Astyanax mexicanus: one gene and its partners. The protein of the gene in region 3 interacts with the protein of the main gene of each other region in a pairwise test. Links are inferred from orthologs where the notes say so. Each region holds a gene or a part of one and is shown on either strand. Other genes may lie near its edges.

What was found.
Region 1: the proteins of csde1 (region 3) and hid1a interact in binary tests that used the Homo sapiens proteins (3 or more experiments, as listed by UniProt). The two-hybrid records come from large-scale screens. The link is inferred for Astyanax mexicanus from reciprocal best matches to the Homo sapiens genes CSDE1 and HID1.
Region 2: the proteins of csde1 (region 3) and c25h11orf68 interact in a two-hybrid assay, tested with the Homo sapiens proteins (2 studies listed by BioGRID and IntAct). The link is inferred for Astyanax mexicanus from reciprocal best matches to the Homo sapiens genes CSDE1 and C11orf68.

Annotation. Positions count from the first base shown.
Region 1 is NC_064426.1:43,208,222-43,215,737, forward strand, and holds the start of hid1a (protein HID1), read right to left. Parts: upstream 3,066-7,516; 5' UTR 2,977-3,065; coding exon 2,911-2,976; intron 1-2,910. UniProt on the Homo sapiens protein: May play an important role in the development of cancers in a broad range of tissues.
Region 2 is NC_064432.1:18,621,047-18,629,031, reverse strand, and holds the start of c25h11orf68 (UPF0696 protein C11orf68 homolog), read right to left. Parts: upstream 3,001-7,985; 5' UTR 2,914-3,000; intron 1,550-2,913; exon of another isoform or gene 1,368-1,549; intron 1,353-1,367; exon of another isoform or gene 472-1,352; intron 11-471; 5' UTR 1-10. Other genes in the region: drap1 (dr1-associated corepressor), read left to right, coding at 3,141-3,182, 5,322-5,394, 5,950-6,043, 6,129-6,251, 7,241-7,331.
Region 3 is NC_064419.1:39,190,487-39,198,026, forward strand, and holds the start of csde1 (cold shock domain-containing protein E1), read right to left. Parts: upstream 3,103-7,540; 5' UTR 3,023-3,102; intron 1-3,022. Other genes in the region: porcnl (porcupine O-acyltransferase like), read right to left, coding at 5,458-5,556, 6,642-6,749, 6,932-7,017. UniProt on the Homo sapiens protein: RNA-binding protein involved in translationally coupled mRNA turnover.

The DNA of each region.
Region 1 (7,516 bases), on a different chromosome or scaffold from region 3:
CAGATTTTTGCTTCTGAGTTTTGGCACAGTTTTCACGGGTGGGCGGGGCTTAGAAGAAGGGGTTCCCCTTGAATCTCCATTGGTCAGCTGGTTCTGGACTGGCGGGTTCCCTGAACCCTCGTCTGAGACTGACCACGCCCCCAAACACCCGCCAGCTTCAAGCGTCCTTCCAAACACGGAGTGAACAGCAGCTTCCAGCAAACAGCAACAGATACTTTTACAATTAAATATTATACAAACGTTATGTTTAATGTTATATTATGTTATATTATTCTCTGTTTCACTCCATTTAAAAGCTCACATTAGCAAGATGTGCTAAATATTCACGCGCAAATTATGATAGTTACCTAGTCAATGAGCTAGTGAGTTAGCTAATTACCTAATCAGTGAACTAGTCAGTTATCTTAGTCAATGAGCTAGTGAGTTAGCTAGTTACCTACTCAGTGAGCTAGTGAGCAACCTAGCCAGCAAACTAGTGAGTTATCTAGCCAGTGAACTAGTGAGTTAGTTACCTACTCAGTGAGCTAGTGAATTACTTAGTCAGTGAACTAGTGAGTTACCTACTCAGTGAGCTAATGAGTTAGCAGGTTACTTACTCAGTGAGCAAGTGAGTTACCTAGTCAGTGAACCAGTGAGTTACATAGTAAGTGTGCTACTGAGTTAGCTACTTACCTACTCAATGAGCTAATGAATTAGAATGCTACCTAGTCAGTGAACTAGTGAGTTACATAGTCAGAGAACTAGTGAGTTAGCTAGTCAGTGAACTAGTGAGTTACATAGTCAGAGAACTAGTGAGTTAGCTAGTCAGAGAACTAGTGAGTTAGCTAGTCAGTGAACTAGTGAGTTACCTAGTCAGTGAGCTAGTGAGTTACCTAGTCATTGAGCTAGTGAGTTAGGTAGTTACCTACTTTCAGCATGAATATTTAGCAATCTCGCTAATGTGACTTGTGAACATAACGTTTGTATAATATTTAATTGTAAAAGTATCTGCTGCTGTTGCTGTTTGCTGGAAGCTGCTGTTCACTCCGTGTTTGGAAGGACGCTTGAAGCTGGCGGGGTGTTTGGGGGCGTGGTCAGTCTCAGACGAGGGTTCAGGGAACCCGCCAGTCCAGAACCAGCTGACCAATGGAGATTCAAGGGGAACCCCTTCTTCTAAGCCCCGCCCACCCGTGAAAACTGTGCCAAAACTCAGAAGCAAAAATCTGAAGCAGAAGCAAAAGAGGGATTCCAGAAGCAAAAGTCTTTAACAGAAAAATCCAAAAAAATCCACAGAAAATTCACAAAAACACAAAAATAAAAGCAAAGACCAAACTGAAATAATTTTCAAATAACTGCAAAGGATAATAAAATAACCAAGTATATTTAAAAATATATATTTGCTATATATTTTTTCTCTTTTGAATTTGTAACATATAATTTTTGCTTTTGATTCCTAACATTTTGATTGCGGATTTTATTTTTTTGTGTAAAACTTTTGGCACAAAATTCACTCCATACTAAGCTGCATGACTGGGATTTTGCCGCTGTATATGCTATTGGCCCAAAAAATCCGTCCAGCCAATCAGTGTAGAATGTCGTTTCCCCACGTAATAATTAATTTGCATAAAGTAAAAAAAAAATCACAAGGCAATTTGTCGCTTGTCCTCCAATAGGAAAGGAATGAATAATGATTACTATTACAAAATTAATTATAGATATCTGTAACTGTGTGTAGTGTAGTGTTTGTGTGTGTGTGTGTGTATATATATATATATATTTAGTGTGTAAATATAGTGTGTGTGTAGCATATAGTGTGTATATATAGTGTGTATGTATATTGTGTGTGTAGCGTATAGTGTGTGTAGTGTAGTGTGCATATAGTGAATTTATAGTGTGTATGTATATACTGTGTATATATGTAGTGTATATATATATATGTTGTATATATGTATATATATATATATATATATTCGTGTATGTATATAGTGTGTGTAGTGTATAGTGTATATATATTATATATATATATATATATATATATATATATATATATATATATATATATATATATATATATATATATATACATTAGTGTATACAGTGTATGTATATAGTGTATATATTGTTTGTATATATAGTGTGTGTGTATATAGTGTGTATATATATATATATATATATATATATATATATATATATATATATATATATATATATATAGTGTATATGTAGCAACCAGAAGAAGCTGAAACGCTGTTCTCGTGTGAAGCTGAAATCTCGCGTCATCTCTACAAACTACAAACAGATCCTGTCTGCGTTTCACTGGATCCCGGTCTAATAAAACATTTCCAGCTTTAAATCCACTGATTAACCTCTTTAATATCATAATTCGCACTGATTACAGAAACATCTCTCTATAAATCACCATTTAATCTGCGCTTTTATGCTGAAAATCATGAAAATCATTCACAATATGTTGAAACACAGCGGCGGCGGAGCTCAGGTCTCTGTTTATTTAAGAGAATAAGGTTAGAAATCTGATATTCGGCTTTTTTCCCTAATTTGTTTTTTAAAAACCACAAATAAACAAAATAAAACACAGATAGACCCAGAATCAGCTCTCTAACGTTATATCCATATTTATTTATATCTACCCTCCTGTTCAGGTGCAGCAGGTGCAGGGCTGTTTTTATTGGCCTGATAAATAAATATATCATAATAAAAGCAGGAAAAACAGATATTTCGCGTTAAACAGTGAGATAAACAGCAGATCTCGCTTTTATCAGCAGGTATCTGTGTTTTTAACTGAGGTTTAGTGTCTCAGACCCTCATCCTTGATGTTGCGGATAGCGATCTGCCTCCATCTGGAAGCGTTCAGGCGCTGCTCGCCCAGTAAAACCAGTAAATCCAGTATAAATGAGGGAATAAAGCGCTGACCTGGGTTTTAGTGGTGAGCTGAATGACCGCTTTCCTGAATTTGAGTTTGGAGTCGGTGTTTCCCATGTTTTCAGCCCGTGTGTTTTATTATGAGGAGATCCTTCACTAATCCTCCTCCTCCTCCCCGCGCTGTTACTGTTACTGCCGCCGCTGCTGCTGCTGCGCCACAGATCCTCCACCCACAGACACCGAGATCACCCACTTCACTGTGTGCTGTGAGCGGGAGCGACCACTAGAGGGCGCTCCAGAGTGAGGACAAAATGAATGGGTTCAAATGGAGCGATTGAGAAAAATAATTTAAGCAGTTTATTAATGTTTATTAATTTTTAGACTAAAAATATTCTTATTATATTACTTCTAACACAGAACAAAATCATACGACGGCATTTTAGGGACACTCTTAAAAAAATTAAAATAACAGTTAATCAAAAATAAAGTTGCAATATTACAAGATTCAAAGTCAAAGTCAAAGTCAAAGTGGTTTTTATTGTCATTTCAGCTATATACAGAGTACACAGTGAAACGAAACAACGTTCCTCCAGGGACCATGGTGCACATAAACACAGTGTAGACAGAACAATAGTGCAACAGTACAAAAGTGCAGACAGACAATACAACACCATACAGACAAAGAATAATAAATAACAAGACAGTGTGCAAATTATGCAGTGTGCAATAGAGTCCAGTGAGGTAGTAGGGTTTTTAGTGCTTTCCATTTTCTGGGGTAAGTGGGGTAAGAGTGTGTGTGCATGTACAGAAAAAACATCAGTTCAGTCTCTGCAGTTAAGGAGTCTGATGGCTTGGGGGTAGAAGCTGTTGCAGAATCTGGTCGTGCTGGACCGGATGCTGCGGTACCTTCTTCCCGAAGGCAGGAGGGAGAACAGTTCGTGTGAGGGATGGGTGGGGTCATTCACAATGCTGGTTGCTTTGCGGATGCTGCGGGTGGTGTAAATGTCCGTGATTGAGGGGAGAGAGACGCCGATGATCCTCTCAGCTGTCCTCACAATACGCTGGAGGGTCTTGCGGTCAGAGACGGTGCAGGTCCCAAACCAGGCAGTGATGCAGCTGCTCAGGATGCTCTCAATGGTCCCTCTATAGAAGAGTGTGAGGATGGGTGGAGGGAGACGGGCCTTTCTCAGCTTCCGGAGGAAGTAGAGACGCTGCTGGGCTGCTGGGCTGGAAGATTAAAGTTCTAATATTAAAAGTATAAAATTGTACTAATACGAGATTAAAGTCTTAATATTACAAGAAAAAAGTCAAGTAGTTTTATTGTCAATACTCCATATATACAGGACATACACAACATTGAAATTATGTTACTCTCCTTCCCAAAAGCTACAGCACAGATAAGTACAGAAAATAAGGTCATAAATATAAAAGAACGAGAGACACAAAATAAACGATACAACAATGACACAGGTATAGACATACATGGAAAAAAGACACAAGACAATAGTGCAATAGTGATGGGGTGGGGGGACGGGAGAGGGAATGACAGTACAAGTATAAACAGAAACCATATAACAGTAGTGTAAACATAAAGGTAAAATAGCTTAAGGCTGGTAAAGTGAATGAGTGCATACAGTTCAGTTCTAAGCTGATTTAAAGCATTTTAAGGTAGTTTATGTGCAATTCTGACACAATTTGTAAATTTGTGTGTATTGTTTTTTAATAAATAGTGAAATATAATAGTGTAAAAGTGATTTTGCATTTCATTTGGCGTATTTTGAATGTTAGTGTGGAAAAGCAATGCATCTTGTAGATTGCATTTACAATTTTCCAGGATAGTGATAGCAAACAGACATCCAATCAACGGTCAACTTCAATTTCACTTCATATTCTTATAGCTTGACATTGATTTTTAGTCAAAGTCTTTTTTGTTGTTTCAAGGTTGTTGTTTTTTCATTGTCAACATTAAATGATGTAATGATAAAAAAAATCTATGTTTATTAAATGTGCCATGCTATCAGCACTGCATCAGCATTAGCTCACCAACCAATCAGCTCATAGTAACAGTAATGCAGGGCCTTTACCATGTAAGTCCCATTTACTGTAAAAACTAAAATAAACAGCTACGTTTCCTTGCTTTTATGGCTAAATACATAATTATACTTTCTAAAATGTACTATTTAAATTTTTTTTTTTTTTTCAAATTTTTTGCCGTAGCTCGGTGGTAAAAAACGGTGGCTATAGGAAGTGGTCAGTCTCTGTATAAACCAGCTCTGCGGCTGCGCTGTGTGTCATCTGCGGAGGCGGTGATAAAGCCACAGAGCGTATAAACAGATATCGAGAATTTTTATTTAACATTAATTTTTATTTAGGTTTTTTTTTTATTTAGACCACCTGAGAGAGGTTCAGAGTTAAAAATTAAATATTCATTCATTTTTATACTTAAAGTATTCTTATTTCTTCAACACAGAGTACGTTTTAATGCTACATACATGATTTTAACACTTTAAAAATCCAGTTATAAACCTTTAAAAATGTGCTCTTGCTGCAAGAACATTTAATCAATGAAAGTTATTTTTTTGCAGTTTATGCTCCCAGACTGTGGAATGATCTCCCTACTGATCAGAAATGCACAGAACAGGCAATTTATTCTCTTTCAACTAGTTTAGTTGAAATATGGAAGCCCATTTCCGCCACCTGAAGAAAAAAAAAACGTCCTCAACTAAGTCATAATTATGAGATACTAAGTCTTAATTATGAGATAGTAAGTCATAATTATGAGATACTAAGTCATAATTATGAGATGACTTTTTATCTCATAAATATTACTTACTATCTCATAATTATGACTTTTTTATCTCATAATTATGACTTACTATCTCATAATTATGACTTACTATCTCATAATTATGACTTACTATCCCATAATTATGACTTTTCTATCTCATAATTATGACTTACTATCCCATAATTATGACTTTTCTATCTCATAATTATGACTTACTATCTCATAATTATGACTTTTTTATCTCATAATTATGACTTACTATCTCATAATTATGACTTAGTATCTCATAATTATGACTTACTATCTCATAATTATGACTTACTATCTCATAATTATGACTTACTATCCCATAATTATGACTTTTCTATCTCATAATTATGACTTAGTTGAGGACGTTTTTTTTTCTTCAGGTGGCGGAAATGGGCTTCCATAATATGAAAAGTCTAGTGGGTCATAATAAAAAATGGTACAGTAATATTGATTGTTCTTTAGGCAACTAAAGAGGTTACTTACTTACTTCATTTTTAGATCTCTAATGCACTGAAACTCCAATGTCAATGATCTAAAATGTCAGATACATTTGATTTATCTGTGTTTTTTTTTTACGCAGAATTACTGTTAGTATTGCAGTGTAAAAAGGGACATTTAAATTATTATAATGTTATTACTGCATCAGCATCAGCCCACCAACCAATCAGCGCACAGTAGCAGCAACGCTAATGTTTATACTAATTAAACCCTTTTACTGTGAAAAACAGAAACGCACAGCTAAGGATTCTTTGCTTTTATTAGCGACATATCTTATTATAATTTCCGAAATTAAAGGAATAACCTGGACTATCAGCTGTATACTTTATTTAATTTGTGTTTTTAGCCGTTTAGCTTCATTCACCCCCATTCATTTTGGACCCGCTCGCGCGCTCCCTCTAGCGGTCAGCTGTATTATTTTATTATAATGGAGGAGATAAAAGTAGGAAGTCTCGCCATAAATTTGATAAGAGCCTTAACTGCAAACTTCCGGGTTCCTCGAGCTCCACGCTGTTACCAAGAGCTACGGCCACTTTAGTTTAAAACCTCGTATTTACAAACGTAGCTAAAATCCTAAAGCACAATTTAACACAATTTGTTAGAAAGATAATAATAACTGGAGGCCAAATATTGGTATAGAAGAAAAATAAAAAAGGGAGAAAAAAATAAAAGTATAAATATCCACTGTTTTAACAGCTTTTTAGTTTTAAGAGAGAATATTAGGTGACTAACTTATGTATTGTTTGGTTTTATAGTTTTTATTTTTCAAAAACAATAATTTCAGGTTTTGAATGAGAAAATTAACAATTGTAAATGTATGACTTTTATGATAATCAAAGCCAAACAACACATTAACTAAACAGAGACCAAACTCAGCGTCAACATTATCAATAATAAATCTACACAATCTTTCCAGAAATTAGTTTAGAGGTACAGTATCAAAATAAGATAGATAGATTTTTTACAAAAGATTATTCTTAAATTAGATGTTTTTCTGTTTCTTTATGGTCATTAATTTACAGAAAAGCAAGCTTTATAATTTTCTGGCTACAACCTAATTATCTTGTTCCCACACTTTAATTATCTTGTTCATACACCTTAATGTTCTTGTTCCCATGCATAAAGATCTCATTCCCACGCCTTAATAAGTCAGAACTGTATGAACTTTTTCATTTAACCAGCCTTGAGCTTTAATACTAATTTAATAATGATAGATAGATAGATAGATAGATAGATAGATAGATAGATAGATAGATAGATAGATAGATAGATAGATAACTGTCTAGCAGTGCCCCTGTTGTGGACCGCCCCCTGGCTGCTGTAGCTCCGCCCCTCTCTTGA
Region 2 (7,985 bases), on a different chromosome or scaffold from region 3:
CACTCTTTTTCTGTTAGAGAGACCAAAAAAAAAAGTTATGAGTTAACCTGTATGATTATAAGGCAGTTTCACAGTTCTAGCTTCTCTATAAAAGTTGTCAGCAGAGGGAAGGATGAAGTGCTTTAAAATTTTCCGGAAAAAAAAAAAACGCTGCACTGACTTTGGAATTGATATAACAGAGTAGACCAACACCAGCAGACATGACTCTCCAACCCATCACTGACCATCAGTAAATTTTAAAACGCTTAAAATAGATCACTCGGTGTGTAATAAGTCTATATAATATGAGTTTCACATTTTGAACTGAATTGCTGAAATAAAGTATCTTTTTAATGAAAATATTCTATGTGAACCAGGTGACTCTCTCATGAAAACACAGAGAAAATACCAGTGTTCAAATATGTAATCAAAGGTAAATGTGCCACTTCCACTTCATAATCTAAAGTGTAAAACATATTTTGGTTTGCTTACCAAATAATCCTGCATTTGTTCCTGTATAGCTTTAATGTATTTGATATTAAATTTACTACGTAAAAATAAATTATAAAAAGAAAGAAAACACATAGAATGAGAAGCGGTGTGTCCAAACTTTTGATAGGTACTGTCAAAGTGATTTATTTTACACATAAATCGGTAATAGATTAATTTAAGCAAATAATAAATCTGCGGAGCCAGTTGGGAGTTGAAAGAGCCGGCCCTTTTTTAGTGAGCCGAGCCAAAAGAACCGACTCAGAAAAATGCCACATGTGACATGTGACAATCACTACTGCGCATGCGCTGAAAATTTTTTGTGCCTTTTTTACGTTTTCATGTGTTTTTCGAGATAAATCTGCTCATACAGTGTGTTTTACAGTCTAGACTTACTGTTATTGGTTGTTTGAGTCTCACACGAGTTTTAATGGCTATTCAAATACATAAATACACCGTATATACCCTTATAATTGCTATACTGTGTACTATACAGGCTAGTTAGCCTATATCCACATATCTTCTACCTAACCTACCAAACTTCACTTACATTAAATCATGTTTTCAACCAATCTGAATAAACTACTAGTCAATCAGATTTACCTATGAATACACATTATACACTGGGAGCACGTTTTGACAGGGTAGCAACATTGGACCCAACACCAGCAGTTATATTTGCAGATCTGCAGACCCACACACAGCTTAATGAACACTGCACAGACAGGTTACAAACTCATTCCTTCACCCCACAGCTCTACAGAAGACTCTCCCCACACACAGCTCACTCTTTAGCCTCCTCACTGACTTTAATCAGCAAACTTTACCCCAAACACAGCACAGCAGCAGCTGCAACTAGCCCCGACCACCAGAGAGGAGAAATAAAGCAGAAAACTCACAGAATTCCTCACTATTGCGCATTATACAGCGCTCACACTGCAATACAGCCCGCACACGCTCACCTGCGGCATCAAACACGCCTTTAAAACCACTAAAACAGCCGCTAAACCCACAGCTAGCCGAGCTAATGCGTTGTTTTTGAATTGTCTGGCTCTGTCCCAATTTGTGCGCCCGTGCTGTCTCCCCTCGCACACTAGAAAGGCCACGTCTACTTCGAACACTCTTTAGCTAACCTAGCTAGTGTGCTCGTTTCCCTACTTCCCCCACAGGTCGCTTAACAACTGGAAAATATCTAAACGACGGCGTTTTAGGGCCACTCTTTAAAAAAACAGTTCGTTCGAGAATAAAGTCGCAATATTACGAGGCTAAAGCCTTAACATTACAAGATTAAAGCTGTAAAGAAAATATCCAAATGTTCGCAGTAAATCAAGAGGAAATCTTCTCAATGTAAGAGATTTAAAAAAAATTAACAAATAGATAAAAAGTAAATAATAATGATATAGAAAATAATAAAATTAAATTAAGACCAATAACAAATGAATTAATAAAAACATAGAAATTATAAAGAGTTAAAACAGTCACATGCGTTCTGAAGGTAATTTGAAACTAAGAAGAGTTTCAAATTTCAAATGTGAAGAGGAGGTTGGATATAATACTATTAGGTAATAATAATAATAATAATAATAATAATAATAATAATAATAATAATAATAATAATAATAATAATAATAATAATTAGTATAGTATTAGTATAAAATCTATTTACTCATTCGTCTTCTTTTCCCTGATGGTCAGGGTTGTGGTGGGTCCAGAAACTACCCAATTCACCTTTTAACTTTACCTACATGTGCAGAAACCATTGAAATACTAAGTCATGTTCATGTACGATCTTGTTGTTTTAAGATATTATGTCATTATTTTATTATATTATATATTAAGTTGTTATTTTGAGATACATCATTATTTTGAGATACTAAGTCGTTTATATGAATGCTTTTGTTGATTTAGGATCTCACAATAACGACTTAGTACCTCATAATCATAAGATTGCAATTTACTTAATAATAAGTTTTTTTTTAAGTGGAGGAAATTAGATTTCACAAAAAAATGACAATCCTTTGAAAAAATCATTTTTTCTTTCTTTTTTTTGCTATGCTATTGCTATTTGTAATTCTATTTCAGTAGTTCAATAATAACCTGTTCCCGGGTCATTATTTAAAAATACTTGCTAATATTTGGCATAACGGCAGTCCTTTAACTTAAATAATAATGATAAATTTGAAATATATGATGTGGAAATATAAAGACAAACTGTTTTTTTAGAGATTAAGATTGAGATAGGGCCTACTGAATCAAGATTTGCATCCTGCTGCCAGAAACTGAGAAGGCCAGAAAGGGCATTTACCTGACAGGAATGTATTTCCATATTTAAACACCGAATAAAAACAGGTTTAAGTTTAAAGTTAAGGCGAAATTTCACTATTATTTTTATTTTATTTTGTTTTATAGCATGCTGAGTTTGTTATGGGCTTGATTTGAACACACTTGTAAATTGGAGCGCAGCCGGAGATCAAGCTGCGACCCTGCGAGACCCGGCTGGACTGAAGGAGGAGGAGGTGGAGACGGAGCCGCCGCTGCTGCTGAACCAAAAACACTGAGTTTATCATTAAAACCGAGCCTAAACCCGGCCTGGAGCCGATCCGGCAGCGGGACAAAGGAGTACAGACACAGAGCACACGGGCTAAAGCGGGAGGAGTCCTGTAAAACACAGCATGCCGAGCAAAAAGAAGAAATATAACGCCAGATTCCCCCCGGTGAGATTACTCCCATTCACCTGATAATGCTAATGCTAAGCTCAATGATTCTCTATGTACATGCTAACGTTAGCTTAGCACAGTTTAGCCTAGCCTAACTTAGCGGAGCTCCTGTTATCTTAACGCCCACTCTGAATGAGAGGAGTAAAACCTGTGGCTGGGTTTAACTCTGTTACCTGGTCTAGACTCGAGTCTAAGTTTAATTCTGAGTTTAAAACAATACCCAGTGTAATACCGAGAGCTGGAGAAGCCCATAGACTCAATGTAGAGCGGTTCAGCGGGTCCGGCTAATCCTACTGTACAGCTGCTCGCTGGAGAACTGAGAGTTCGGTTAGCTTAGCTTAGCTTAGCCTAGCTTAGCCTAGCTAACAGCTGCAGTCCTCAGCATTATTCAGAGGCCGTGTAGCTTTATAATTAAACAATTTACACTTTATTTTATGCAGTATTCTAAAATCTGTGGTTCAAATTGGTCAATACTAATGTAGCCATGATCCTGGATAATCTTTGTGTGTAGCCAGCCAGCTAGCTAACGCTAGTAAAGGTTTTTGCTAAGTAGCTAACATAAGCTAGCTAACATAACTTAGTTCCCTCAGTTTGTGTTGGAAAGTGAAAACTCAGCTAACCAGCTACTGTACAGACAGAACACAGATGTTTTACTTACCTATAAACACAGATACATTTAACTGACACTAACAGATATTTGGCATAAAATTGACAGACATTTGACTTAAAACCAGCAATTGTTTTTTGACATAAAATCAACAGATGTTTATGGTAAAGTTAACAGAGATATTTCGCATAAAACCAACAGGCGTTTAAGGTAACGTTTTATGTAACAAATGATATTTGACATAACATCAACAGATGTTTATAGTAAAATTAACAGAGTTATTCCACAAACTCAACAGATGTTTATGGTAAAATGAACAGAGATATTTGACACAACCAAAAATGTTTAATGAAAAATTAATAGAGAAATTTAAAATAAAATGAGCAGATATTTGATGTTTAGGTGAGAGATATTTGATGTAAAATATAGATAAGTGACACCAATATATATAACATAAAGATATAACAAATATTTGTTATAAAATTATCAGATGTTTACCATAAAATTAATAAAGATATTTGGCATAAAGCGAACAAATATTTAGTGAAAATTCAACAGAGATATTTTACATAAAATAAAAATTATTTAACAAAAAATCAGAAAAGATTTTTGGTATAAAATTTAAAGTGATTTTAAAATGAATACATTTAACATAATATTAACAGCTCTCTGGCTCTGTACATATCAGCAGGCTACTCAGCTGCTCTTATGCTGCTAACCAACTTTAGATATCAACAATATTTACATACCATTTGTATTTGTGGCATTTTTCTGCTCCATTTACTACAGAGGCCTCATTCTTCTCCACAAAGAGTGGTGTACCTTCAGTTTTTTATTCCAGTGAAGCAGAAGCACATGTGATTAGTTGTTTGAAGACTGACCAACTGATTAAACAAGAGGAACCAAGTGTGCTGCTGCTGTTTTTTTTCCATAAAAAAGGAAATCTGCAACCACAGCAGCCCTGTGTAGATAAGATTGTACATCTCTAATTTATTGATGTAATCACATTCTTTTATGAATGCTCTTAATCTAGTAGAAAATCTTTTTTGGACAGTATGCATTTAAGTACAATAGTTGCATGTCTCTCAGAGACTCAGGTGGTAGATTAGTAGTATAAGTATAAGTACTACAATAAAGTAGTATAATAAAGGAGCACGTTTGTGTTCTTTATTTTATTTAAAATACAACAAGATGTGGCTGGTAAAGGTTTTGTGTTTCAAGCACAGGAAAATATCTAAGTCTGATAGAATGTAAAGCACCAATTTGAAGTATTTCCACACTGTAAATGTTTCCACACTAAAAAAAATGACAGAAATGCATAACTAGTATTTAATATTCACTGTTACATTTTAGCTTTCAGTGTTAAGTATGTTTTTGTGTCCTGTAGTGTATTCTGTACAGTATACACTGAACCCAGCTGTACTGTATGTGGCTATTCAGTAACTACTGTTATGTAAATTACATTTTTTGTTCCCAAAATATCTGTCTAGCTTTTTCACGCTCACTATGTGTGTTTGTATTACTTTCAGGCAAGAATTAAGAAGATTATGCAGACAGATGAAGAAATAGGAAAAGTCGCTGCTGCCGTTCCCGTTATTATCTGTATCCTTTGAAAGTTCACATATTTCTGTCTTCTGTTGTACAGCAGTGTTTTAGAAATGTGTCAGTATGAGAGTGTTTGAGGTTCTTATGCAAATTGCCCTTTAAATATTGCTAATTCTTTTACTGCCCTAAATATTTCTGTAGAGTTAGATGTCCAGTGCAAAGATGGACATGCACATTTCTAATCAGATGCTGTCAGCCATAATCATAACCATACACTGAACTATCCACTGTAGGTGGTAATGCCTTCTATGTTGTATTCCTGGTTAATACTTGACTCTGTGGATTAAGGAATTTTAAATGCCCACACACTCACTCACTAGATAACACCTTACAATATGTGGGTGTTCCCAAGCTGTCCCTTGAGGTAACACTTGGATCACATGATCCATGCATTCCACTGCATCGCATAACCTGAGATTAGTTGATTTAATAGGGTTTTTTTAAGTGAATAATCACTTTCAAGATATTTTGTTATTTTGGCGTTGATTAATAACCCTCTCTACTCTGTAGTTGATGTTCTTGGTTTGGTTGGTTCTTTAACCCCTGTTCGAGCGCGGGCACTTGAGCTGTTTCTGGAGTCTCTTCTGACGAAAGCCTGTCATGTTACCCAGTCACGGAACGCCAAAACTATGACAACATCGCATTTGTGAGTAATTTTAACTTACTGATCAAACTGTGAGTAGTGTTAACATGCTGACTGGCTTTTAAGTGGGTTTGTTTTTTGCGTGTAGAAAACAGTGCATCGAACTGGAGCAGCAGTTTGACTTCCTGAAGGATCTGGTGGCTGCAGTGCCGGACATGCAAGGAGAGGGGGATGAGAATCATGCTGAGGGAGCAGAGAAGATCCCACGCAGGTAATGACACACAGTTTAGAACTGTAGTCTGAAGTAGGCTATTTTCACTATAGATCCAAACTGTGAGGAGCACATTATGTTTATATTTGGAACTTAAATAAAAAATGTAGGCACAATTACACAAAATAGAAGAGGGGGGAAAAAATGTTTTTCTTTCTTTTTTTTCTGTAGAGGAGATATATATTTTTTGCATATATTTTTTTGTTCTTTATTTTTTGTAACTTTTTAGGATCGGCTTAATTATTGCATATTTTGGCTTAAAATCCTCTAATTTGATATGTAACCAATGGATAATATAATCTCAAGTTTTACATCTTCATGACGTACAACAATTTTTATTACCTCTTTGAGATGCCATAGCTGACAGTGCTTTTTCCATTCACTTTTTCATAGTCTATATATGGCACCAAATAAATAAAAAAAAGTCTTTGCAATGGTCTGCATTGTTTTTTTTTTATATTTTAAATGGAAGCAATATGGCAAGTGCAGGGCCAGCATTTGAGAGCACATATCTCAGCATCACACAGGATGCACCTGTAGCAGTATGCTTGTAATAAATTAATAAATTTCAGTGAAGCTAAATTCTAAATAACATTATGAACACTGAGCAATACATGTAACTGAAGTACCCAAAATATGCTGTACCAAAATCACAGCTTTTACCCGTGTGGTTTTGGTCACTGCTCGTTTTTGAAGCAAATGCAACTGTAACTGCCGCTAATAGCGGATAAAACGCGCTGTTGTAGTGACGTAAGATTCTGTGGCAATGGAAGTTCACACATCACGAGTTACAGCTGTAATACTGTCCGGACGCTTAACTTCTGAGTTTAATCTTTTGCATCTCGTCATAATTACGTTCAGTTTTAGCTGACGTCTATAAAATTATTTTTTGTCACTTGTGAACTGATTCAGAACGTCACTGTTCGAATCGAGATGCGTCTAAAGAATCAAAAATTTCCCCCACCCCTAGAAATAACTGTGTTTTGCAGAGGTCGCAAGCCTGGCTCAGGGCGCAAGAACGGAGGAGCAGGAGCCAAGGGTAAAGACAAGAAGCTGTCAGGCACAGAGTCTGAACAAGAGGTAAGGGTTCATCAGTGCTGCGTGTTTACCTGTCGATTTACTTCAGCATCTCTCTGTACTGAAGTACAGATCAGAAGATTTTTGCATTTATATATTTTTAAAATAAATGTATATATATTATATTATATAATCTGTTATTACATGTTGTCCCCTTTGCTTGTGCTGCAAGCTGTTGATTTAGGGTCTAGTTATGGCCCTGGGCTACATTTAGAAGGGGAACATTTTCATGTGTTTATGCTTACGCAATGTAAAATTATGTCAAATATTGCAATGATAATGTTTTACAGAATTCAGGCTGTAAAACAGGCACATAATTATTTCAGTTATTTAGTTCTCTTTTGTAGTTTTTGTTTGCTTAAAGGTTTCATTCCATTGTTTTTTTCGTTCATTTTAAAATGTCTAGTTGTGTTCTTTAGTATGAATGAATGCCATGTGAACTCTTTTTTGTGAAAAAGGTAAAGTATAGTGCTGCTTTAATCCAGTGGAGGAGTGGGCGCGGAGAAACGGTTTTGGCTCTTGCTCATGAATATTCATACATGCAAAAATATCGCCTCTGCGGCAACAGGAGGTGGACAACAGTTAGAAACACTTTAAAATAAAGACATTTTAACACAGTCTTTGCAATGTCATATGTTACTTTACAACATGTGAAAT
Region 3 (7,540 bases):
TATTAAGAGGCAAGTGTTTAAGTAAATTTAGTCTTTAGTGCAAACTTACAAGTAGTAACATTTCACAAACATTTAAAATACATAAAAAAACTTTACTTGTGGGCTTTCTATGTTTAAACAGGCTGGCTTTGAGGCAGAAAAGGTTAGTGTGTACAGATGGCATTTTTGGTGAACCCTGCTATGCTGCCTGATCAGGGAATTGAGAACTTGTCTGTTTGTAATGGGGATGGTGTTATCCACAACCTTATTCCAACAGTGTGCCTACTCACCCAAAGGCAAACTATTTAAAAATCAACATTGCGAGTTATTACCTGGAGTAAAGAGATCAGTTGACAGAATTTAAGAAACCCAAAATTTCACTGTGGTGATCAAGCTACTCACGTTTCAACACATTAACTGCACAGCGCATGCTCTTCAGCTGTGACCGACTACTCCGAAGCCCCTGTTATTGGCTGCGTCACACACAGCTGAAAAGCACGCGCTGTGCAGTTACAGTGCGCCCGGGCCACAAACAGTCAAGGCTCGAGGAAAAACAAGCACGCGCTCCTCTGACTACAGCTGCAGCGCGTTCCTGCACTGCCCTTCCCTGAACAGCACTCGGGTCTTCACTAGTGAATAACTGAAATTGTGCTGCTATTAATAAATCCTTCTATAAATTTCCAGTTTCACTGACTTTAGGCCTTGACTTCCTTTTCAAAACAGCACAAATAGACAAAACAATGCGTGTCTGGCTAAGAAGCTAAAGGCCAATTCTTTTGTAGTTAATTACAGTTATTAGTTACGAATTAAACCAACATCAGCCTGCCAAATGTCCTAACAACTAATGTTCATGTCCGGAGTTTAATGTTAATCATTCCCAAGTTCTGACTTAGGAGTCCAATTTTTTTGTTACTCCAGTGTTCTGAATCAGATCTGTAAAAGTAGTGCAGTTTTTACAAATGATACAAGGACAGGATATTTGTTCAGGCCCATCCACACATCCAGATATTTCTAAAAACAGTAAAATCTGCAGTGCTAAGCACAAGTTTCAAATTTAAGCAGCTCTTATGATATGAAACATTTGGGATTTAAAGCCTAGTTTCAGTTGCCTAGAACACTTGTGCAGTGCATAAAATATATGCATATCTTATTAAAATATCTGTAACATCCAGGTGAAATTACGATTTAGCAAAAAGAGCATTTTAGTTTGTTGCAGTCAGCTCGTATTTATTAATGTTGTTCCAGAGTCACTGAAATCCTCGCTCAGATTTGTCTTGGCACATCATTTACTCATTTTACTTCTCTTTTAGTTTTATTGTTTTAAATTCTTTTATAGTACTTCTAATGCACAGCTCACAATAGCTATACCTTAAAAGTGGGGCTTTGCTGATGTTATTCAGTGAAATTTCAGATTCCAGATTTCTGGAATTTCATTTTCCAATTGAAGACATTTGTTACTGAAGTTTTCAATGGTAAAAACTGTAGGTTCATTATAGATATATATAGGCTGGAATTAATTATTATTTTGGTAGTCAAGCAATTTGTCAAAGGACATTTAATTTCCTCCATTGCTGAAAACAAAAACAGCTGAACATGAGATTTAAAAGCCATTTAAATGTTCAGATGTTGTTTAAACGTAAAAGGTACTGATTTTTAGTTAGTAATTATGTAACATTTAGAGACAGACCAAATTGAGTGTAAATAGTGTGAGTTAGCCCATTGTCCACTATGTGTAATGTGGTACTGTTACAAAACACACTTAGTCGACTCCGGAAAAAAGGCCACTTAAAATTACGAGTCTTTGATTTTACCAAATTAAAAACAATCTGTACCAAGCTGAACTGCTTGAATTTTTGCACCAGGAGTGGCATAAAGTTACCCAAAAGCAGTGTGTAAGAACATACCAAGATGCATGAAAACTGTGATTAAAAACAAGGGATAATCCACCAAATATTGATTTCTGAAATCTTAACTTTATGAATATGAACTTGTTTTCTTTGCATTATTTGAGGTCTGAATGCTCTGCATCTTTTTCTTTTTTTATTCCACAAATAAATACTCTAAATTACATTCTTTTTTTCTTAATTGGGAGAAATGTTGTCAGTAGCTTATAGAATCTATAAGCTATCTATCTATAGCTTTATCTTTAGCTATTATCTATTTGATCTATATTTAGACATTTTACTAGTAAAAGCTGATTTTCCACTGCTGTGGCCAAAAACATTTGAGGCTAAAACTTGTTTAGCTGCCATATAAAAATAAACACGCCTGTTTTTAGGGATCTATGTTGGCTGTTCGTTGCATGTCTGCGTGTTTGTGCGTTTATATATGTATGTGTGTGTATATGTACATGTGAGTGTGTTTGTATATCTGTATGTGTGTCGCCGAGGGTTAAAATATAGCTTAAAAATGTCGGACAACAAAGAAAAGGCTTTGAAACTAGTGGTGCTAACGTGTGTTAGCTAGCCAGCCACTTAGCTAACCAGCACAGAGCCACGTTGAAACACAAAACGGTGAAGTTAGAGGTAGAAGTGGGTAATCCAGGTTAAGAAAGTAAAAATCCACTCCAGGATTTTGCTTCAACTGCCTATACGGCCCTACTGTGTGATCTGCAGCAGAACTGTGGGAACAAAATCCTGGAGTGGATTTTTATCTACTGGGTCTGCACCTCACACCTCTACTTCCAGGACAATAATGCGACTTCTTTTAGAACAAAAAAGCCAGTCTAAAACACAGTTCTCTGCCAGTTCTTTAAGTATAAGGCAAACGTTGATCTAATTAAAGCAGACTCCGCCTCCGCTGTGATTTATTAACCGGTATATTTAGCTATTTAGCCCGCTAGCTAACAGCCTAGCAGCGCCGAAACGAGCGGTGAGGTCTGCGGCCCCCACCCAGGCCTTCCCGTCCCTGGAAATAACAACATTTACACCGTAAACACGACACTACAGCCGCCCAGCCTAAAACACAAAGCGCACACACACCTCTACCTTCACCCTGCGGTCTTAAAACTGCGTATCACCCAAACAAAAGAGGAAAAACTCACCCCAACAGCTTTCAGCACTGTCACCAGCGCCGCCATAAGCAGCACGGCACATTACGTAGTGAGAAGAAGGGGAGATATCGCGATATTTCACAAGCGCGCAGGAGAGGAGAGAACGAGATTTGATTGAAAAAAAAACGTGGTTTTATTTTTTACATTTTATTTTTATACTTTCTTTTAAATTTACACTCACACTCAAATACTTACACTCACATCGTTTAAAAATATATAAATAAATGAATAGACTTGTTACTAGTGCTTTTAATCAAACGATTAAAGAAAAGATTAGCTAATTAAGCACATGCTCTGCGATTAATTAATCTAATTTAAATTAATCGCACGTATCACTTTTTGCTATGAAAGGTAATTAGCAGAGCAATAAATCAACAAATTCATAACTGACATATTTTGTTTATTTCATTTCAATTTTTTTTTTTTTTTTTTTTTTTTACCATTTTCTTTACGGAAATTAGGACCCACTCATTAGGACTCCCCCTATCACTAGTGATGCCCCAACACCAGGAGGGTGAAGACACTTGTGCAGTCAGCCACTGCGTCTTTTTCATGCAGCATTGCTGAGTAGCATCACAGCGCACTCAGACGAAAGCACAGCCACTCAGTTGTAATACATCAGCTCACAGACGCCTTGTGCTGATCGACATCACCCTTTGGAGTGATGAGGGGAGAGAGCGCCATCTACCTACCCAGAGAGAGCAAGGCCAATTGTGCTCTCTCGGGGCTCTGGAAGCTGATGGCAAGCTACATGAGCAGGATTCAAACCAGCAATCTCCTGATCATAGTGGCAGCACTTAGCCCGCTGGACCACTCGGAGCCCCATAACTGGCATATTCTTAAAATTCGTCTTAAATGCACTGTGATTAATTAATATATCTAAATTAATCTTATGCATCACTTTTTGCTATTAAATTTTTGAAAATGAACTTCAGCAGAGCAGTAAATAAATTAATTCATAATTTATATATTCTTAAAACTCTTCTAAAATGCACTGTGATAAATGAATCGATCTAAATGAATCTCATGCATCACTTTTCGCTATTCAAATTTTGAATTTGAAATTTAGCAGAGCAGAACTGGTATATTCTTAAACTTCAACATCTCTTTATTTCAGGCGCATAACAAACCATCTTGAGGTCCCAATTGGGCTGGGACATCTTTTTTTCTATTTCTATCCCTCATAAATCTCCTCTTTTTTCTCTTCTTTTTGTACCTGTCTAACATGATTGAGATGAGAGAAGAGACATGGGCTGTCTGTCTATCCAATATTAAAAGACTGTTTATTTCTTTTATTAGAATAAAATCTCCAAACAAAAACCGCAGTGACAAATCTGCATTCTAAATTGGTCCTTATTACAGAAATAGTGCAATATATCAGCCATTGTGTAGTGTTGGTTAAAATATCAACAGTATGTTTTATTCCCTATATAGTTCACTATCAAACACCCAAAATGCATCACAATTTAAGCTATATACCATATACCCTATTTGCACCACTGTTATTTACTATTTATACTGTCATTCCATCTCAATCACCATCAATATTGCACTATTGTCTTACGTATGTTTATTGTGTCTTGCTGTATTGAACATATAGTGTCTCCCACTCTTTTATATTATAATTATATATCTATTTTTACTTATTTACTTATATTTATATATCTATTCCTCCCCCACACCACTGCACCTTGTTTTTGTCTCATGTATGTCTATTTGTGTCCCTGCTGTATTGTACACATAGTGTCTCCCATCCTCCTTTATTATATCTATTATCTGTACTTGCTGTAAAATTGGGAAGGAGAGTAACGTCATTTCAATTCTCTGTATGTCCTGTACATATGCAGTATTGACAATAAAACTACTTGACTTGACTTGAAAATGTAGTGTACAGTTAATGTACACTTTGATTATATGCATGCTATATGTATAAAATAATGAATACACATTTGTGTATTGTTATTTATTTAATAACAATAATGTGTTGGTCTGGGGATGTCTATTTTTTATCATGGCTTTTGAATAAATGATTATTTATTTATTATATATATAATGGAAAGAGAGATGCCACTAATACACAAGAGATGAACAGACAAACTGTATCACATTTTCTTAGAAAACAATAAATATCTTTATTGTTATTTTGGTAATGTATAAAAAAGTAACAAAAACTAGAACAACATGTTCACCTAGATTTTCTCAGGTCTAACACATACAGTACATGGAGGAATGTAGTTACGATTACAGATCTGTAGAACAGTGTCAGTATAAGGTGTGAAAGCAGGAATGATGGAACTGCAATGCTTGATCACTGTATAAACAGTCTGTAGATATGCTGAAGATATGCTTTTGCTTTGAGTCCGATAAGATCTCAATCCAAGGAGTGTAAAAGGTCCTCAGCTTGATCCATAGTTTCACATCCAGCTTCAAATGAGCCAATAGAAGACCCAACATCCCAACATCACCCAGTGGCTGGCCCAGTTCAGTTCTGACCATTTTTGAATGGTGTGACTTGCCATGTAACCCTGGAAGACAAAGAGTAGATACACAAAAGATAAATTACTTACACAATATGATATCTATGAATATTTTGATCTGATCCAGTGAATTGGGATCAGGTCTGATGCAGGCATGTTTTTAATTGATTAGGTGTATGTTATTTTAATCTACAGCTATGAAAAAAATGAGAGCACTTCAGTTTCTGAATCAGATTCTCAGATTTTTGCTACGTATAGGTATATGTTTGTGTAAAATGAATATTGTTGTTTTATTCTATAAACAACAGACAACATTTATTCCAAAATTCAAACAAAACTATTGTAATTTAGAACATTTATTTGCAGAAAATGAGAAATGACTGAAATAACAAAAAAGATGCAAAGCTTTCAGACCTCACATAATGCAAAGAAACAAGTTCATATTCATAAAGTTCTAGAGTTTTTTATTCACAGTTTTTATGCATCTTGGCATGTTCTCCTCCACCAGTCTTACATACTTTTGGAAAACTGCAAGAATTGTGCAAAAATTCAAGCAGTTCAGCTTGGTTTGATGGCTTTCAATTTGGTGGCTTTTCTCAGAGGTTTTCAATTTGGTAAAATCAAAGAAACTCATCATTTTTAAGTGGTCTCTTATTTTTTTTCTAGAGCTGTTTATCTATCCGAGTCTTTGTCTTAATGACAGCGCCATCAATGTGCCATCTGGTGTCCTCAAGGCACCATTACCTGGCGTGACTGCCAACCTGCAGCACTGTGGAAAGTTTTCAGGAGGTAAGTAAGAGTTTAGTTAGAGAGCACAGTGTGGAACTATAATACAGTAGAGCACGAACACATAACATCTGAAACTATAAAAATAAATTTATATATTAAAATACCAAAAACTGTAGTGTTTTAATGGAGCAGGGAGCTGTCATATACACACAAACACAGAACAGTGAGATATCTGCCAATACTAAGCATGTAAAAACTCAGATCAGATCATGGGGCAAAATAACCGGTTTGAAACATCCCTACTTAGAGGTCATAAATTGTCCCATTTAAATAAGCAACACTGGATTGTATTGTGTAACGCCTTCTCATTACAGTGATTAACAATAATACAAAAAAACAATAACCTGAACCTTCTCATCCTCGGCATCCATGTCAAAGAGAGAGCCCAGATATGTCAGGTGAAAAATGGACAATGCACTGAAGAACAGGTTTGTGGCATACACCCACACAACCTGCAGACAAATTAAAATCATAATACAGTCAGACACATACACAGAGCTACTGTAAAATATGGGCTAAATTTCTAATCATTTTCTATTAATTAAAAACAAAAAAAGCAAAAAGTGATTCATTTTAACTTTTCAAACCACAATAAAAATAGATTTTCAGTCAGGCTGGTGAAACACCTGCCTACCTTTTTGTTCTCATGATGACAGTCACTGGAGCAGCGTTTGGACAGAATACAGGCACTGAAGATGGCTGCCAGTCTTTTTCTTAGAACTGGGGAAGACATAAAAATATTCAGGTCAGTAAATGATCACTACTGTGTACAGTTTACTGAAATTTTAACACTGAAACGATGAAATCTTCCTACAATAATGAGGTCAGAATAGTGACTGAGGTCATGTCCATATATTTTAAGATTTTAAGGTAAATATCATAATTATTGTGACATTCATCTGCTTATATGAAACACAGTGAAAGAGTGATGGGCTGTATGTTCTCCCTCACAGTTACTATTCTTTTTAAATGTGTTGGATTTAGTCAAAATTGTTTGAATTGGTCTTGTTGGTTAATAAATTCGATTTGTTTTAAATTTTTTGTTTCAAATTTTTGGACTGAAAATATAAAAAATGAGAGATGTTAGGTAACCATTAAAAGTTATAATAATTAAATATCCTATAATAGTGTTTTTTCACTTTTTGTCATAATGTGAATTAGGGGTGTGATATATTTTATTTGTTTAAATTATTTTATTATATATTATATTGTATTAATGTAGCTGTTTACTGTGAAGGATATT